Linked DNA regions of Medicago truncatula. The protein of the gene in region 2 binds, or shares a complex with, the protein of the main gene of each other region. Links are inferred from orthologs where the notes say so. Each region holds a gene or a part of one and is shown on either strand. Other genes may lie near its edges.

Region 1 (10,578 bases), on a different chromosome or scaffold from region 2:
ACATATACATGCTCCCCTGTACAACTCTCATAAAAACTCTTTTCAATCTACTTCAGTAATCTCTAGTTTATAGTTTTTGTCTTCTTTGAGACACTAAACTAAATAAGTTCTATATAAATTGGCAAGCTGTGTTCATTTTATTTTCATGTATATACCATTTCAGTAACCATTTTACTTTTGAATATACAGAAATGGGAGTTGGTGGCACTTTGGAATATTTGTCTGATCTAGTGAGCAGTGGTCACCACCACCTCAAGAAGAAGAAGAAGCAGTTACAAACTGTGGAGCTAAAGGTTAGAATGGACTGTGATGGTTGTGAGCTTAAGGTCAAGAAAACCCTATCTTCACTAAGTGGTAAAGTAACATTCTTTTTAACTTTTCATCATTTTATATTATCATTTTCAACATGAAGTTGCTGAAATGAAATGGTGATTGCAGGGGTACAATCAGTGGATATAAACCGTAAACAGCAAAAAGTGACTGTGACTGGGTTTGTGGATCCAAACAAGGTGCTGAAGAAGGCTAAGTCAACAGGGAAGAAGGCTGAAATTTGGCCTTATGTGCCATACAACTTGGTGGCTCAACCATATGCTGTTTCTTCTTATGACAAGAAGGCTCCTCCTGGTTATGTGAGGAGAGTGGAGAATGCTCCAACCACTGGAACCATGACAAAATATGAAGACCCTTATGTCAACATGTTCAGTGATGAAAACCCAAATGCATGTTCTATCATGTAGACAAAACAGATGTTTTTTTTCTTTCTAAGCTTGGCACTGTAAATTTTTCAAATTTTAATCTAGTATTTTTTTTAATTTTTCTAGTTTACTTTTTCTGGTCAATTTTCAAGCTCGTTATCCTACATTATGGACTTTTCTTAACATGAAAAAGGATGAGAAGAGACGTTGCTGTTATCATTGCTTTTGTTTCCTAATTTTGTTAGTTTTCCAGAACTGTACACTGTACCTGCTTTCAGTTTTACAGTAGCTAATTTTGAGCCCTTGGACTTGACCTAGGATAGGAAATTGTTTGTCTCTGCTATGTCCTTCTTTCTCCCAGAAAGGAAAGCTGGATTGGGTAGAAAAGTAAAACAATCATGTGAATTGCAAATAAATAGGGCCTGCAGGGTTGAAATGGTAAATAAAGAAAACATGTCTGAATGTGTGATTAAAGTTTTTAACTTTTCTTGTGTGATTGGAGTTGAGGAGGAAAAATAGTAATTAGATCACTATAGGAGGGGTAAAACACGCAACCTCAATACTTCTTAGTTCTTAACGAAGGTCAGGTCACACCATAATAAAAAATGAAGGGCACACATAAAGGAGGGTGCATGTAACTGTTAAAGGCTCAAAAGTTATAGGGTTCAGGTTCACTCATTTTCCAATAGTACAAACATTATCAGCATTTGGCATTTCATTTTGCCTAATCTGCACGATTGCTTGCTCCCTAGTTCTGGAACATTTGGCCCCTCTCACCTAGGAAAAAAGCATACATTCTTGAAGATAAATTCAAAACAAAAGAAGCAGGAGCTAACAAGTAAAACAATTTTCAAGGAAGGCATATCCTCTTCTTTTAATCAACGTGAAGCAGAAATTAGCTTTATCCCTTTTGCTCTTTTCCCGTTTTCCCTATTCCTTTCCCAGATCCTAACAAAGTGTAAAGGCACATGTAACTCAGGGCAGTGCAGACTAGAGGATTCAACAGAATTGTTCTTGAGCGGTATAGTTTAGAGGATTCACCAGAATTTTGCCTACCAAGTTGAACAATACTCTAAAGAAATTTTGCATACAATTTAGGATATCATTAGGAACATATTTCTAATGATAAACCCAAAGAATGGTTGATCAAGTCAACATAGCTGCCAAGAAATTGTACATTTTAACTATTCATTTGTTAACCATCCAAAATCATGATTCATCTTTGGCATTTCATTGCAGACAGCACATAGAGGAAAAAGATCAAATGGATTAAAGATACAAGTAATAGGGGATAACATTTATCATATAAAGAATTAATTAATTCATCATTCAGAGTGTACTATTGAAAATTACATTTACAATAAAGATACAAAAAGTTGCATCATGTTACCAGACATGTCTAATATATATCACCGCACCAGGGTTGGATCCTCTTTACTCTTAAAAGGGGTATTCTATTCAGGTGAATCATGTCGGACTGCACTAAACAGGAATAGTAATTTGAGAGAGCTGGAACCAGGAAGGAGAATCTGCCTAACAAGTCGATCCACACTCACCAGCAAAAAAAGTCCATTTCATTACTCTAAAACAATTAAAAATAACCAGTCAAAAAAATTATTAAAAATAATGATTATCCCTATTTTTAGATAATCAAGATCAGAGAATGCATGGATACCAGCATATCATTATAGTTTTAAAGGCATTTTATTATTCCATAGAAAAATGTTTTAGTTTATAAATATGCAAGTCTACTTTTATCTGAGTAGATTATCTGACGCAACTTTATAAAAGATCGATTAGATTATACTCCCTCCGTCCCTATATGTAAGCACCCTTTTATTAGAGGCAAAAGGTGCTTACATATATGGACGGAGGGAGTAAACAAAACCTCATTCATCTTAAATATCACTCGGTCGTCAAACAGTATAGTGTTGTAAATTTGATGAATAAGTCAAGCCACTGGGATAAGGTTAATAATGATGAATTTAACTAGTTTGCATCTGAGTTCAAACATCATTTTGTATATTGCACAAGAAAAATGGTCACAAAGGACCCTGTGTCAAAATTTTAAGTAGCATATGCTTTAACCATGATCATGTGTGACAGCTAATTTTAATGTTGCATACTGTGTTTTCTCATGAAGGTTCTGCATATACCTAGATATGCATAAAAGCTTCCTGATCATGGTCAATATTGGAAGCATTTTCTTACAATTATGATAATGTGAAAAGTAAACAAACATGTTTAGCTGGAGAGCAAACAGAAAGTAAGCTGGATAAAACAATCTGAGTGCTGGGTAGTATTTGTCTATCTAATCTAAGAATAAAATATTCTCAAAAGATCAGGAAACTCACCTAATCCACGTGCGGTTCATATACGTATACGTATTCGATCAATTTTGTCTTCATTGACTTCGATTGCCCGAATAAAGACCAACAAATTTAATATCATACAGAAGAGTTGCATTACCCGGTATATTGCAGTCACCTATTGAATCAGCGACAAAACTGTCAAAATCTAACATATTTAATGATAATGATTCTCTTCTTCTGATAATAATAAGATTGCATTCAATATCTTCCCAGCCTAATAAAATCCATGGTCTTATACTCCTTTCCATTGAGAAAAACACACAGACAAGCACACAAAAACAAATTCAGCTGTGTAAGTAGAAAAAAGTGTTTTCAAGTGTAGATCGTGGAATATAGCAGTTTGTTCAAACTCTATTAAGTTACAGAGTTTCATAGCTACTATTTGACATCACTTTGTTCTAAACAGCGTATCACGAACCAATAGCAATTTATTTAAATTCCATAGCACTGTAGCTACTTTTTTTACAGTGGTAGAAAATATACCGGGGCACATACGCGCAATGCATATGACCAAATACACAATTAATGATTCATTTCTTCATCCACGTGTCTACTAGATTTTTGAGTTTCAGGTTTGATTAAAGTAGTTATCCATGTTTAGTAGCAAATTACATAATAACACAGTAATAATTAATAATGAATGAGACCTGAGAAACAGCCTGCAGGTTCAGGACCATACGCTAACAATGGAGGAATCGTGAGTTTGCGTTTCCCACCTAAGTAAAAATAGTAAATAAATTTAGAAAGTGTCATATACTATGAACAATGAAACTTAAACACTTCAAATTAAATTTAATACCTATCCGCATTGGAGGTACTCCTTCACCCCCTAAAATTCCCTGATCCAATCCCCTTATTACCTGAAAATCCCATTGAACCTTATAATTACAAACTCATAAAAAATACATAGCCAAATCAATTTAACTGTAAGAAAAACTTATCCACCTTGCCAACACCAATACGCATAGTTAAAGGCCTAGCACGTTTATAACTACTATCAAATACTATTCCATCGGCGAACCTAGCTGTATAGTGAATCTGCAATGTATAATAATAACAATATCAATCGTTAATTAACTAATTAAATTTTTGCATATAGAAAATGAGTAAAAGAGTAATAAACAGCTTACATCAATAAGCTCTCCTAAAGGAGCTTCATCACCAAAACCCTCAACATAATCACAGTAACCAAGCCCAGATTTAACATAATTAAGCTCACACATTGGTTCTCCCACAGTAGCATAGTATTCAATTCTCGTTGCATCTGCATCCAACGCTGTTAACCCCATTACCCATGCTGCTACAATTCCAATACCAATTCCCACTAACGGCTTCTTTTCGTTACCGTTACGTGCAGAACATAACACTTTATCGGATACTTTATAACTTTTACCATTCAATTTCATACAAGAAGGAAAACGGTTATGAACGGTTGTGCCTGAACAGAGTGAGAATGAGAGTGCCATTTTCTATCTTAGTGTGTGTGTGTATAGTTCTCTAAGGATATATCAAAGACTGATGATATGAGTAACTCCATTTGGCATACCATCCTTTCTACACCATGTGGCTCAAATTAATCTATAATAATCAATATATATCAGCTCAAAAACACAAATAAAAAATTTCTGGGAAGTTTCATCACTCAAAAAAAAAATCTGCAAGTTTATAGAGACAAAATTACATTTTAGTCCCTTAACTTAATTTAACATAACAATTTGGCATTTAATTTATTTTTTTCATTTCAATTTTGTCATTTTTGTTCTTTGCATATGAATTTTTCAAACTTCAAATCTAATATTCATATGCAAAACACCATATATTTGAAAATTGAGAGGTCATAAGAAAATAAAAATATGAATTTTTGAAACTTGAAAATCCATATGCAAATGACTTAAAATGACAAAATTGAAATGAAAAAAAAGATAAAAGATCAAACTATCATTCGAAATTAAGTTAAGGGATTAAAAGTATAATTTTACCTTTCTCTTTCCACCTTATCTCCAAAACCAATATAAATTGAAAATCATAAAAAACTCTATTTGCTTCGAATATTGGACAATTTTTTGACTCAACCATATAGTTTAGTTTAGCATGCGGATTTTATTTTATCAACCAAATTAAACTAAACTACAATGTATAATAAGAAAAACATGTCATTGTTACTTAACCCAAACTCAATCTCTTTCAACTTCGCATAATATTAGAGAATGATTTTCAAATGAGATATAACTTGTCAAATAAGAGCAATATAACTTATTGAAATTGTTAAAAAAGACATTTAAGTTAAATTTGTTTATAGTATTTGTAGGCTTTAGAAGGCTCCTTATTGATATATGAAAAAAATATAGACACGTGTGTAAATTAAAAAAATTAGTTACACATATTGATATATGACTAAAAATATATGCTAAAAAATGTTTAGATGAGATTATACGAGTCTTTTCTAACTTAACTAAAGTCATGTGTTCGAATATAATCTCAGACACTCAGCAGCATTTAAACACTTATAAAAAGTTTATTGTTTATTTAGGTCCACAAACACTTATAAAAAGCATTTAAGATAATATTGATATTAATATATAAATAAAAAAATAGAGTAGATAAGAGCTTAGTTTTTTCCATAAAAAAAATAGCTTAATTTTTCTCCTTAAAAAAAAGAGCTTCAATTTTTCTCGTTTCATTTTAATAGGTAAAAATAAAATAGTAAGATATGAATATCTTTCGCATGCTTACATCTCTTAAGATTCAAAAACGTTTAAATCTATAACAACCGCGTAACAAACTCACACGCTTACAATACTCTCTTCTAACCGTTTAATTTCCCCGCGCGCGCGTATATAAATACTTCACCCTGCAATTCATCTTCATTCGATTCAATTCACACTCGAATTCACTCTCTTGAGACTTGAAACCTCTGAATCTTCTTAACCACCATGGAAAACTCTTCAACCTTTTCCTCTATGCGATTCTCTATGCTCTTCTTCGCAATCTTCTTCACCGCCATGCTTTCCGGTGACGAGGTCACCGCCACTGAAGGAATCGAAGCTTCATTCCCACCGCCACCTCCGCACGATCTTCAAGAACATTCGTTCTTCTCTCAAACTGCATTACTTCCACCGATCTTGTCTCATCTCGGTTTTCACGAGCTTGCAACCGCCGCTCCGTCGCTCTCCGACGCTGCAACCACCACTTCCCCTGCTTGGACCGGTCCTTTCACCATTTTCGCTCCCTCTGATGCATCGCTTCGCACTTGCTTTTCTTGCTCTGTTCCGAATCTCCTTCGTGAACACATAGTTCCAGGTATATTCACCATCGAATATCTTCGGCGACTTGCTTTTGGCACCAAGATTGAGACTCTCAGTCCCGGCCGTTGCGTAACCGTCACTTCCGAGTCGATTCATCAGAACAACACTTCCGGCAGTGCTCCAAAAGTCTTCATCGGAGGCGTTGAGATTACTCAACCGGATCTATTCAACAACGGAATGGTTGTTGTTCACGGCCTTCAAGGTTTCGCCTCTAAGCTTTCTCCGTTTTCTTGCGACGTTGAGAGAATGAGTTCTCTCTCCTTTCCGTTTCATCCTGATCACCGTTCCGGTGCTCATGTTCACACTCCCGGCGCCACCGTGCTCCCTGCTATTATGCGCCTCATGCTACGAGATGCAATGGTAAGGCTCCGTAATAACGGTTTCAGCATCCTCTCCCTTGCTATGAAGGTAAAATACGCAGAGCTCATAACTCTCAACAACATGACTATTTTCGCTGTTGATGATCTTTCTATATTCTCCGGTTCTCAATCGTATATCAGCAATGTGCGATTCCATATCATACCGAATCATTACTTGTCAATCGCCGATCTTGAGAAGCTTCCGGTTGGAACTGCTCTGCCTACATTGGAGCGAGGTCAGCCGCTTCTGATCACTACTTCCGGCGGAGGAGTGACATCAGCGCCGATGAGGATTAACTATGTGAGAGTTAAGGTTGCTGACGTCATCCGCAATGTGAAGATTGTTGTGCACAGCGTGTATTTGCCTTTTCCGCATATCAATCCTATTGCGGCTGCTTATGATACTATCTTAGGAGGTGAAGGAGCATCGGAAGGAGCGGGTGTCGGAGCCAGAGCTGCTACTGTATCAGATTCTGCTGGTCAGGCCACGGAAGAAACCTGCTCTGCTCCTGATGGACGTGGTGGTTGTGCTGCTGATGTCACTACTGCAGCAGGTGTGTCTCCCATGCCTCAGGTCAAGCCAATGGTTGAGATTGAAGATCACCATGGCCTGTGAGTGCGATGCTTCGATGATGATGATGAAGATTGCGGTTTAGTTCTTTCTCTGCTGAAGTGAATCTCTATGAAATTTGTAGTTAATAAGTTTACACTGTTGTCCATCTAATGTAGCTAATTCACACGGTTCCTTAGTTCTTTTTAGTTTGTGCTGCACTTCTTTGTCTCATGAAGTGAAACTTTGAATTTGTAGTTAATTCACACTATTATCCAACTACACTATGTTGCTTAAATAGTTCTTCAATAAAACAATTTGTGGATTTAGTCTTTACAGATTTTCTTGACATTATCTTGTTTATCAATTCATATTTTCTGCTTAGCACGTTCTTGTTGTCTTCCAAGTTGCTAGAGTGATATTTAGGGTCCAGAGATAATTTTTGGGTTAAATGATTTAGTAACAAGTCAAATTGAACGAGTCCATTTGAATTTATTTACTGAAGTGAAATAAATGTGCAATGAATCCTTCTAAATATTCGTTTGATTATGCAAAGGTTAATGATCAGTACATTTTGAAAGGTATTTAATGGGAGGAAGGAATCCTTCTAACTGATTAATTCAAGTTGGCTAAATACCGAACTTGAATAATGAGCTATGTACTTTAATAATGAGATACAATATAATTTTTCTCTCTGAAGTTACTTAAATAGGATTGCTTGACCAGTGGTAACACTTTTTAGGCAAATTCACTTGTTCATTGTAACCCAGATCTCAATTTTTGAAGAACGAAGAAGAAGAACGCGATTGATTGGAGTTCGTTTTGATTTTGATGAATTAGTCTTGATTTGTACCAAAAACGTTCATGAATTTGTTTTGGAATTCGTTCTTCAGGATTTGCATAGTTAAATTTTTTTTTTTTGAGTTTTGATGATGAAGGTGATGAATGTTGCTGGGTTTATTGATGAAGATGATGAATGTTGTTGGGTTTGATGATGAACACGATGAATGTTAACGTTTTTTCCACAAGATTTATCAGAATGGATTCAATTGATAGACGGAGGTAATTTAAAGGATTAAATTGGGGTGAAAATTAATAAGAGGACCAAATTAAAATTTCATAATTATTTAAAAGACCATTTATATAATTAAGCCATAAATCTATGTTGATCTAAAAAACTTTCCTAGATTACAAGGTAATCCAAAATTCCAGCTGTATGGTGGGCTAGCTGGTGCATATCATATTTGACCAAGAAAATACAATAAATAAATGGTAGGTATTGAAAATGACAGAAGATAGCTTGCATAGAAGTAGCTACTTGGTCAAAGATATACCTAAGGGATTGACTTTGTAAAGTTGGTATGTAACTCATGTGAAAGTTGGCAGTGACAGTAACCGGAGGAGACTAGAGAAGTAGTAGTCTACTGCAATTATGCAATTTTGAGTTGCTCTAACCATTTTTCACAGAAAAGAGTCTGAGGAATCATTACAATTACACTTTACAATATATACAATGAGGCCAGCACAATTTGTATAATACTAAAATTTTAAAAAAAAATTAAAATATATCATGATGATTCTTTTGGAGTAAGAAAAGAATTGGATGTTCTAAAGTAACAAAGGAAAAATTGAAATTGCTTGTTTAATTATGGCCTAAGAAGCCTTTGCTTTTGCCACAACCCATGATGGATGAAGGTAGCTTCCCAACCCTTTCAATTCCTTCTTCAAAAACCACTCCCATTCCCATATAGAAATGAGACTCTATATGACAATGGAAAGCCCAGACACCAGGATTATCTGATCGAAACCTCAAAGCAGTCCAACCAAATGAGTGCACTGGCACAGTATTCTTCATAATGGGGTTCACCAAATTATAATTTTTTGGGTCTTTGTTCGCATCAAACTTTCCCTTTCCATATCCAAGTACCCAAAAATCATGTCCATGAAGATGCCAAGGATGTGTCTCACTGTTATTTTTATTCATAGTGTTTGCATTTTGAAGTATAATATCCACAGTTGTATTGAACTTCAGTCTATAAATTCCATTGCTAGAAGTAGCATTTGTGTTGTTAGCCACACTGAAAATATCATAATTATTAAAATCATAGCCATCAGGTGGAGGTGTTTGGTTGAATTCACCAGTTATATTCTCTTTAAGTGCAACAAGATAAGGGGTGTGAGGAAGGAAAAATGATACGTTGTTAACAGACCAATGACGAACATTGTCTATAGTGTTTTGTGTGTTGAGCAAAACTATGACTCTATCTGAGGTTGTTGGAGGTTTGATTGTGTAATTTTGGTGAGCTTTGATTGCAAGGCTTTGAGTATGTCTTGACTCAACATTGTCCCAAGCTGGTGGAGGTGGTGGAGATGTTGGTGGTGACCTCATTGGATGGTTTGGGTAGTAGTTGAAAATGCCTAAACCAGGCGGGGTTGTTCTGTTTCTGCTGACAACATTTGAGGTGATCCAGTAGTTTCTTGATGGGTCTTGATCAGTTTTGACTAGAACTGAGTATGTTTCGCCTGAGTATATGTAGAGATTCTTAACCACAAAAGGATCAACATAGTGTCCATCTGCTTCAACAACAGTCATGTTATGGCCCTGCATTATTACAAACATGTCAAAACTAGTTCTGGATGTAAAAAGTGATAAAAATTAAACAAGGTTAAATTGTGGTAACAGTCGGGTACTCGGGTCACAATCTTTTGATATTTCAAAGAATCGTATGTGACTGATGTGGCCTTAATGGTAGTCATAGATTGATGTGGTCAAAACTAGACCGGTGATAAAACGAGTGAGACTGTTGGGCCATGGTTCAATTGGTTTAATCGGTTTAGCCATGACCCTTAACCCTAAATTGTGGTTCAACAATATGACTAAGAAATAAATTAATAGATAGACATTAAAAATGTATGTTTTTTTATAAAGAAGCCAGACTGGTTGAACCGCAGTTCAACCTGGTTCTATCGGTTCTATAGGGCTGCGAGTGTGAACTGTATGCGGCTGAACCATGTGTTACACCGGCTGGTTTCCAGTGAAACCAGTCGGTCCGATTTTTACAACATTGTCGCGTATACATCAAAAACCATGGTATCGCAACTGAGATTATTGTCGCAGACCTTGTTTAAAAACTCGAATGATACTTAGAATAAATGATTACCTCTATTTGGAAACTGAGTGCTGATAAAGCAGTCAAGCTTGCAACTCTAATTCTGTATGTCTTTCCTGAGACGACTGTTTGTGAAAAGGGAGAGCATTCAGGATTTGATGAGTTACAAACACCAGCAGCAGGTAAG
Region 2 (10,147 bases):
TTATCAAAACAAGCTTATAAGCTAGTCCAACAAGCTATAAGTTAGCTTTTTTGTGTTACCAAACACAGCCTTAAACAACCACTTAGTTATTTTTGGACGGGGTTAAATAAGTTTTTTGTCCCTATAAATATAATCAATTTCGTTTTTAGTCCTCATAAAAAAAAAGACATGTTTGGGTTTCTATAAAAAATTTCAACACGTATTTTTAGTCCCTATTAAATTAAAATTTGTTGAATTATGCCTATAATTTTAATTTTCTAAATGATTTTTCACATACTTGTTTAGAAGCATCATAAAAAGTTCTCCCGCAAATAATTAACTTAAAATTTGATTTTTTGGTCCAAATTTTCATCTATTTTATCTTGAAATTTTGAAGTTTTAAAAAAAAATTCATATTTACTTCATATCATGTTATAAAGTTCTAATTTTTATATAAGAGTTTCTTATAATGTTGTTAAGATGTCCATAAAAAATTATTCAAATATAATTAAACAACTTTTAATTTAAGAAATTAAAACTACGTGTTGAATTTTTTTATAAGGACTAAAACCTTTTTTTTTATGAAGAATAAAAACAAAATACGCTATATTTATAGGAACTTAAAACTTGTTTAACTTTTGGTGTATCCTCTTGCTCAAACAACTTATAAAATGTATTCAAAGCTTTCGTAGATAAGATTCATCAACAAAAAACATAGTATATAGATGGATGTTAACACAACACATTGAAAACGATCCAAATTAAAGCATGATGTTATTAAAATGAGAATGACATTGCAAGATTACTTCTTACACAAATAAAATAGTTGCAAGTAGTAATTTCTTATTCACACACGAAACATTCCATCATCTGAAAAATTTCCTAAATATCTCGTTTTAACAAAAATTAAATTCCCCACCCACCCATAAAATTAATTATTACCACAATTTAACTCCCATACACAGTCCTTTTTTTTATACAAAGTTGACCACCACTAACCCATTCAGACTGCATAATCTAATACAAATATTAATTATACAACTATATAATGTTTTTACCTCAAAATATAGATAATTAAACAAGTAAGAAAAATCAATGAATGGGGATATATTTCTTATTTCTTACATTCGTCAACTAATAATAATGTTAACATTTTATTATTACATGAAAAGTGGGTCCAATGGTCAAATTGAAAAAGCATGAAATGAAACATTGTTATAGCAAAATCTTGTTAAAAAAGTCACATGTTTAATGATGCTTTTAACCGAAAAGTTATGGTTGAAGCGTGTCCCTCCTCTTCTTCCCTCCTCCTAACTATTGTTGTTGTAGCATAGGGTGGTAGCTTCAAAACCAAACCTTAGTTCATGACACAAACCTTTGTGTTGTGTACGCTATATCACACAACCTAGTTCACTCACACACACACAAACAAAACAAAACAAAAAAAACATCATAGTACTTTGTCTCTGATCATGATCATCTGAAGAAAAAAAAAATGCAAAAAACTTGTGATGAGGGTGGCTCCGATGGCCGGACGGTGGTGGTGGGAGTGAAAATGGATTCACCAAGCAAAGAGCTTCTTACTTGGGCTTTGGTTAAAGTTGCTCAACCTGGTGATCTTGTAGTTGCTCTGCATGTTCTTGGGACTAATGGTGAGTGATAATTTTCATTTGTTTTTATTTTGTTGAGGTTTTTATGATGATTGATATGTGAAATGGGTTTGTGTAGAAATTGTGAATGGAGATGGGAAATCATCGTTGCTTTCTCTTGTTAAGGCTTTTGACTCTGTTCTTAATGTTTATGAAGGATTCTGTAATTTGAAGCAGGTTCAATTTCTTATTCCTCTTTTGAATTTTTTTAATTTGTAAAGATGAATATGAAAATTCATTTTCAGTCATCAAATTGATTACAAATGGTTAATGCATAAAATTTAATATTCTCACCTCCAATTATGATCCTAATAAGCAAAAAAAATAAAAATCAGTTACATTATTTCCTGTTTAAGTTTTTGTTTTTGATTTTCAATTTTGTAGGTGGATCTTAAACTAAAAATTTGCCGTGGATCATCGGTGAAGAGAATTTTGGTACGAGAAGCAAATGCTTATTCTGCATCTCATGTTATTGTTGGAAGTGTTCATGGTTTTCATAGAATTCGGTCATCTAGCTCTGTAGCTAAGTATTGTGCTAAAAAGTTATCCAAGGACTGTTGTGTTCTTGCTGTGAATAATGGAAAGGTTGTGTACAAGCGTGACAGCTTGGCAGCATCAACTGTTGCTGATGTACAAGGTTTTGGATTTTTCTTAGTTTTGGTTAATGTGGATCTCATGATTCATGAACTCAATTTAATTTACAGTTATTGATTTTGTTTTTTTGCTTTTGAAAGGGTTTGATCGTCAACGTGGAAATGGTTTGCTTGGTTCAATTCAATTGACACATGGTTTGCTTGGTTCGATTCAATTGACACTCAGTAAGAATACAAAAGTACTTAATGCTGATACTGATGAGGGAACTCGACGGATTTCGGATCACAGTTTAGCTAAGGTTTTACTGGATTCTACAGAAAATGTTAGACATCAGAGTTGCTCAATTTGTGGCTCATTGAAAGACACTTCTTGCCATCAATCTGCAGAAGAGCCTTCAGAAGGATCTGAAGTCTCATCTGGTGATGGTGGAAATGAGAATTCTTTGGCAATAGTCCCTGTACAGACAACTGATGCAGGGCAGCTTGAATTGAAACCCGGTTGGCCACTACTACGTCGGAATTTTTTACCAGACCGGCAATTACCTGATAAACTGTTCACGCGGGACCAGATCTCTGTGGTTCAGTGGGCAATGAGGTTGCCGCGTAGAAATCTTTCATACCATGTTGATCATGATAAACAAGTTAGTATTTGTGATAAAGCTCAGGGTCAATCTGTGGCTTTAGATAGTGAAAGTGGTGCCCTTATTCCAGTAGATTCGGAAATGGGGAAAACTTATTCGTCGCCTGAATGCAATTTAAAAAGTATTCCAAAAGAATTGGAGGGCCTTCATGAGAAATACTCATCAACTTGCATATTGTTTGAGTACCAAGAACTTGTATCAGCAACATCAAATTTTTTGCCTGGTTTGTTTCTTAGTATTAATTAAGTTTGACTGTGTTCGGTTTTAACAAAACCATTTTATTTTTAACAAGATTATTACAAATATGATTTCAGAAAATTTTATTGGGAAAGGAGGAAGTAGTAAGGTTTACCGAGGCTGCCTTCGTGATGGCAAAGAACTTGCTGTCAAGATCCTAAAGCCTTCGTATGATGTTTTGAAAGAGTTTCTTTTGGAAATAGAAATCATCACCACATTGCATCACAAAAACATTATTTCCCTCATCGGGTTCTGCTTCGAGAATGGCAATCTACTCTTGGTCTATGATTTCTTATCAAGAGGAAGCCTTGAAGAGAACATTCATGGTAGACAAATATACCTTCCAACACTCCCTTTAGTTTTTCTATGTGATCAAAATTCAAATAACATCATACTTATTTCTTTTCCATGCTAAATTAGGGACTAAGAAAAACCCTCGCGAGTTTGGTTGGACACAGAGATATAAGGTTGCAACAGGCGTTGCTGAAGCTTTGGAATATCTGCATTGTAAAGACGATCATCCCGTGATTCATCGGGATGTAAAATCATCCAATGTATTACTATCTGAAGATTTTGAACCTCAGGTATTTATCTATCTTCCGATTGATTGGCTTTTAATATTTCGAATTATTTGTATTAATCAATCCTTATGCTGGTCTGCTTTGATTTTATTCAGCTCTCTGATTTTGGATTGGCTACGTGGGCATCAACTTCATCATCTCATATAACGTGCACAGATGTTGCTGGAACCTTTGGGTTAGTAATTTGAAATCCATCAAAAACTTATCATCCGTTCTTATCCATACATGCTACAGAAAACGTTTTTAGAGCGATCCTGAATCATGTATTGCACCTGTTTATGCAGTTATATGGCTCCTGAATACTTCATGTACGGCAAAGTAAATGATAAGATCGACGTCTATGCATTTGGTGTTGTGCTTCTTGAGCTTCTTTCAGGGAGAAAGCCCATAAGTGTTGATTATCCGAAAGGTCAACAGAATCTTGTTATGTGGGTATGTGTCAGTGGTTATGTACTTACTTCCTAATCATTATGTATTATGGCAAAAATAATCGAAAAGATATTTTGCAGGCAAGTCCACTTATAAATAGTGGAAAGGTGTCACAATTGTTAGATCCTAGTTTGGGTGATAACTATGATCATGATGAGATGGAAAGAATGGTATTAGCAGCCACTCTTTGTATCAAACGTGCTCCAAAAGCTAGGCCACAAATGAGCATTGTAAGTGGCCCACTATCATCTTTATTCTTTATAGCAAATTGAGCCATTCATGTCATGTACAATGGACATGAAAAATTCCTTTTTTGTTTAGCTTTTCCTAAATAATGTGGTACTTGAATTCTATAGCATACTTATTAACTTTATTTTCTTGTTCTAGTAATGGATTCTCTGCAGTCAGAAGTGACTGCAGAAGTGATCTCAGCCCTTAAAAAAATTTAGAAGGTCCATATAATTTTGTTTTAACTGTCAACTGTTTGATTATTTTCAATGGCCGTGATTTACATGCTTGTGTGAATTTACGATTCCCTGACTGCAGGGAATTGAGTCCTTCGAGCACCATCAAAAGTATTCTTATTCCCTTCATTAGTCCTTTGTCCGTTGCAATTCTCATGTATTCTATTGGACCACAGGTTTCAAAGCTACTTCAAGGCGATATTGATGCAATCAAGTGGGCAAGACTAGAAGTCAATGCTTTGGAAGCGCATGAAATGCTCGATGATGAAGTATGTCCACCAAGTAATATACAGTCACATCTTAATCTTGCACTGCTTGATGTGGATGATGACTCACTCTCCATGTACAGTGTTGAGCAAAGTGTTTCATTAGAGGACTACTTGAGAGGCAGGTGGAGCCGAGCATCAAGTTTTGACTGAGCAAATTACAGCATATATTGCTTGCTACAATTTTTTTTATTCTTCTATACTTTTTATTTTAATATCTTGTAGATACTGTTTTCCTTTGCATCTTAATATAGCTTTGGCATATTCATGGTTTTTCTTAAATGGGGGGTTTAGGATGAGAGGTTGTTTGTATGTGCCCTCCTCCTTACCTTAATAATTAGGAAACTATGCCTCCTCAATTTGTTGGGCTAGTACCCCTTTTTTCATTATACTTCAAATGCTGTCTAGTTTTGCTCCATTGAGTTTTGTATAGGATGAGAAGTTGTATTTTAGAGTATTAGGATCATTGCTCTTAATCCTAATAATACGACAACAATTTTGTCGCTTGGATTCTTCCATATGTAATGTAATTTGACTTAATGCATGTTTTGATTTACTGTGAATTTAACGGAGTTAGGGTGTGTGTCACCGTGATTTTAACAAAAAGAATACTTTGAGGCTTCAATAAAATGACAGTACTACCATAATTTCATCAAATTCACTATCATTCAAACATGCACTTAAATATCATTTGTCTTGCAACCTCTTCATGCATATTTAGTTTCTCTCTGGAGATATGTCCGTATCAGGTACACTTATACAATGCTGGGCACCAAAATGGTTGAGAAATGGCCAATTGGTAAAAAATCCAAAACTGTAAGAAAATAATGTGTAGTTTCCAAAATAAAGTAAAAAAGAAAGAAAATAAAAAAATTGTAATAATGCAATGGTGGGATTATTTAAGGATATATATACAGTGTATATTTTAAAACTCATAATAAACCATATGCATGGGTAAAATTGGAAATTGCTCTTTATTTCCTGTATTTCTTCTGTGACCACAAACATTTCCTTCCAGTTATTATGTAACAAATCTTATCCATAGCAGAAGGAGTGAAGCTAAGCAATATGCACACTAATAAGTCCCACTTGTAAGTACTTGTTGGCCATTAAAGGCAAAAAACACCACTAAATCAAACATGGCCACAAGTTGTTCCTACATGGTTTCTACCAAATTATCCATACTAGGTTGGACAGGAGGAAGAAGAAAAGAAGTAAGAAACAGAACTCCATTTTTCATATCAGCTCAACAACAATCTGATGTTAAGGAAACAGATGGTGTGAAAGTAGGAGAAGAGAAAGAAATACCACAAAATCAACAAATTAATCCAAAAGGAACAAAACCAAGGCCAGTTGAACCTCAGGTGATTGTAAAAGATCAAGGCATGACCAGGGAATACGGAGGACAGTGGTTGAGTTGTGCCACGCGACATGTGAGGATCTATGCAGCTTATATTGATCCAGAAACTAGTGCTTTTGATCAAACTCAGATGGATAAACTTACTCTTATTCTTGATCCTACTGATGAGTTTGTGTGGAATCCTGATACTTGCAACTTGGTTTATTCTTACTTTCAGGAGCTTGTGGATCACTATGAGGTAGTTTCCTTAAACATAGTCAAATATATACAATAGTTTTTGTCTTAGAATAGTTTCATATATACTGAATTCACATATACTATAATTCAAGACTAGCATGTAGGCTTCTGCTTAGCAAAATATGTAGAAAAAACATGAAAACTGATGCAAAAATAAATTATCAATACATGGATAGATAATAGTCTATGCTTAAATTTAAGATTGAGAGCTCAAGTGGTTGATGAACTCTAGTTAAAAGTGAATTGTTCGGAAGTATTCGAGTTCAAATCCTGACGAGAACAATTCTTAGTCAGACCACTTTATTTACCTTTCAGGCAAACTCTGGATGGTTAAGATAAAAAAAAAAGTTCTACACTTGGCGGCCATAATTAAAGACAAAATACAAAATTTGTTTATAATTCCGTTGCTAAGTTTTAGAAATATTAACAGGAGAACTATTTTATTTTTTCTGTATCTGGTTTATTAAATTTTGTAACAGTGCTAGTTGTTAATCCAAAAACCTAGGAGAAGGAAAAATATAATTAGATTTTAGTTAGTATGTGCTAGTTTTGAGCCAATTAAGTGTTAGAATTATATTAACCTTTTTGATAATTGAAAACAGGGTGCTCCATTGAATGAATACACACTTCGCTTGATTGGTTCAGACATAGAGCATTATATAAGAAAGTTGTTATATGATGGAGTAATCAAGTATAATATGAATGCAAGGGTTCTGAATTTCAGCATGGGGAAGCCACGGATCATGTTCAACAACAATGATATCCAACCTGAAGATGCAAGTACTTGAGAAATAATTTGTGAAACACACCAAGAAAAGTGAGCAAATCATTGATGTTTTTTGTGTATGATGAATCAGTCAGATATGTTATTACAATTACTAGTTCTTTAATTTGTAAATCATCAAAGATAGAATAAAAATCTCTTGTCCAATATCAGATTTTTTTTGGGGTTGAGTAAAACCAATGCAAATGCTCAAAATAAGTAAGAACATCAATAATAAAAGTTATGAACAAAGATTAAAAATAGTCCTCTTAGCTAGCTAATAAGCATTCATGCTAACTTGTCTCTTAGTGGACTTGACCTAATAGTTTAAACAATGTAAAGAGGTCTCCACTATTAATCAAAGAATCAAACTCGGTGATATGTTGTTGAGAATGCTTAAAGTCATCGACCACAAACTTGATATCCATCTCAAAAAGCGCATCTATTAAATGTCAAGAGGAGAGCCCTAGTGGAACATCACATTGGATCAAGAGCAAGTTGGACACCAATCTTAATTTAAAATCTTAAGGTATTATGTATATTAGTCCTCTAACTTATATATTTTTCAATATTCAGTTATCCATTTAATATGGAGTTTCTGACTCGCTTGTTACACAACAATCTTCCTATCAAGTGGAAGCTTTTTCATTCCATTTGCATTGCCATTGCCACAACATCAATGAAATAGACCATCGAACGATTATTGTCAGAAAGACTTTCGATACAAGGAGTTTGATCCTTTAGTAACTATCGTCTTTGTTATTGTTATTGGGTCATGAGGGAAGGCATGATAGATCATCACAAAGGAGAATGTATTGGTTCTCAAACTTTAAGATAAAAATATTGAAATGGTTACACATAACATTGTGATTTGATTCAAACCTTATTTTCAAGATTTCATTAATTTTTATCATTTTGCTTATATATATCTAAAATCTTTTTGCAGTAGTGATATATCTACAATCTTTTAAAATAACTTAAATTGACCAAATTTTGCTTGAACACAAATATAAATAAAAAAGGTTTAGCCACATCCACTTAAATGAAGAAAAAAAATTAATCATATTATTCAATTTTTTTAATTATATATGTGTCTAACCATTTTTTATCTGTGTTTGCGGAAAAAATAATTTATCCTTAAAATTTTGGTCATAAGGACAAAAAAAAAAAAAAAACTTATCTAAGTTGTTTGTACTAGGGTGCCACGTGCGTGGTATGGGCCCAGTTAACAACCGAAGGTGAACCGTGGCTTGAGGTGAAATGTAAAAATTAGATCGACATAATTACTACCGGCACGACAACGCTGATAAAACATTTGATTTGACATCACCTACGTTGGTGTCTTTGTCTCTTTTATTATTCTGTTTCTTCTTCTCCACCGTGACCGTCTTCCACTCTCACTCTCGATCTCAATTCCACCATGGCTTCCTCCCTCGGCGACAATTTCAACCTTCTCTCCCCGAAACAGGTTCCTTTCTATTTTCTCTAATCTTTTTCATATTTCAAGTAACCCTTCTCATTCTCGTTCTTCGAATCAGCAAGAGTTGGTGAAGATACTATTGAACAATGGCCAAGACCATCTCTTCCGCGATTGGCCGGCACCCGGCGTCGACGACGATGAGAAGAAAGCATTCTTCGATCAGGTTTCAATTCAATTCAATTCCCATAGCATAGATAGATCTGTTCTTTATATATATATATATATATATATATATATATATATATATATATATATATCTTATCTTATCTAAACGACACTCCGTTTTTTGTTTCTTAGCTTGTTCTACTCGATTCTAGCTACCCTGGTGGTTTGGAATCTTATATCAATAACGCCAAACGACTCTTGGCTGATTCCAAAGCTGGAACTAACCCTTTTGATGGCTTCACCCCTTCCGTAAGTCACAATTATCACTTTTCTTATATTTCTTTCTTCCTCTTTATTTATTATATTTTCAACATTCCACATTTTAATTACTATACTATTCAATTTTAAGATTAATTTCCATGCAATGTTGGTGTAAAACTTTTTACACATGCATCCAGTCAAAGTGTCACTTTTCTTAAAATATCTCCAAAATTATCTGTATGACATGATCTGTTCTTTTGTGCATGTTCGTGGAATGGAATAATGTGTAAGACTGTTTAGTAATGATTTTGCAGGTTCCAACTGGTGAGACATTGACGTTTGGTGATGAGAATTTCATCAAATTTGAGGAAGCAGGTGTGCGTGAAGCTCGCAGAGCTGCTTTTGTTCTTGTTGCTGGCGGTCTTGGTGAGCGTCTAGGATACAATGGGATTAAGGTATACTACATTTATCAATTTTTTGCTCTATCATTCTCTGTGATGATCACATCTTGTATATATAAGTTTGTTGTTGTTTTGTCAAAATCAACCAACATCCATTTTATGGTGTTAGGTTGGTTGGTGATCATTGTGAGCTTATCAACTTAAATTTTATGAATACCAAAATTTTCAATGCAGCCATAGAGCTAGCTTAAACTAAATTTTAAGGGAGCCAAATTAAATGCTACCTACATTTGGAATATTTTTGGTGGATCTTGATTAAATGAAGGTTATGATGAGAAATCTAATTCCCGAACACATTATTATTACATTATCTGGAGAAGAAGCCATGTGTTTAGACTAGGATGACCCTGTTAATAAATACAATATCTAGTCTAGGTGTACGGTAGACCCATTCAAAGTACCACTGATTAGCTTTCCTTTAATTCATACATGATTAAACATTTCAATTTCATTTTCTTGATGGGGTGTACTCTCTCATCTGCCACTGCAAGTCTCTCTCCTCTTGAATCAGAGGTTTTTTTTTTTCTCCAATAAATAAATTTTTATTTTAAAAACTTGTGACTCCCTCCATCACAACAAAGCATGAGAAGGGATTTAATTACTACTCCCTCTGTCTCATTTGAAGTGTCTCATTTGAGTTG

What was found.
Region 1: NAD(P)H-quinone oxidoreductase subunit M, chloroplastic (region 2) and photosynthetic NDH subunit of lumenal location 4, chloroplastic share a complex: the UniProt entries of both Arabidopsis thaliana proteins name them as parts of the chloroplast NDH complex. The link is inferred for Medicago truncatula from reciprocal best matches to the Arabidopsis thaliana genes NdhM and PnsL4.

What each region holds. Positions count from the first base shown.
Region 1 is NC_053049.1:42,219,925-42,230,502, reverse strand, and holds photosynthetic NDH subunit of lumenal location 4, chloroplastic, read right to left. Parts: upstream 4,626-10,578; 5' UTR 4,534-4,625; coding exon 4,198-4,533; intron 4,106-4,197; coding exon 4,013-4,105; intron 3,928-4,012; coding exon 3,867-3,927; intron 3,784-3,866; coding exon 3,715-3,783; intron 3,308-3,714; coding exon of another isoform or gene 3,300-3,307; exon of another isoform or gene 3,197-3,299; intron 3,183-3,196; coding exon 3,100-3,182; 3' UTR 3,050-3,099; intron 2,278-3,049; 3' UTR 1,965-2,277; downstream 1-1,964. Other genes in the region: heavy metal-associated isoprenylated plant protein 23, read left to right, coding at 1-17, 190-354, 439-737; L-ascorbate oxidase, read right to left, coding at 8,924-9,883, 10,443-10,578. UniProt on the Arabidopsis thaliana protein: NDH shuttles electrons from NAD(P)H:plastoquinone, via FMN and iron-sulfur (Fe-S) centers, to quinones in the photosynthetic chain and possibly in a chloroplast respiratory chain.
Region 2 is NC_053044.1:43,823,000-43,833,146, forward strand, and holds NAD(P)H-quinone oxidoreductase subunit M, chloroplastic, read left to right. Parts: upstream 1-5,868; 5' UTR 5,869-5,978; coding exon 5,979-6,437; intron 6,438-7,038; coding exon 7,039-7,224; 3' UTR 7,225-7,372; downstream 7,373-10,147. Other genes in the region: probable receptor-like serine/threonine-protein kinase At5g57670, read left to right, coding at 1,475-1,631, 1,708-1,805, 2,013-2,265, 2,363-3,085, 3,177-3,425, 3,520-3,683, 3,776-3,855, 3,965-4,112 and 2 more; UDP-sugar pyrophospharylase, read left to right, coding at 8,620-8,667, 8,738-8,842, 8,977-9,093, 9,360-9,500. UniProt on the Arabidopsis thaliana protein: NDH shuttles electrons from NAD(P)H:plastoquinone, via FMN and iron-sulfur (Fe-S) centers, to quinones in the photosynthetic chain and possibly in a chloroplast respiratory chain.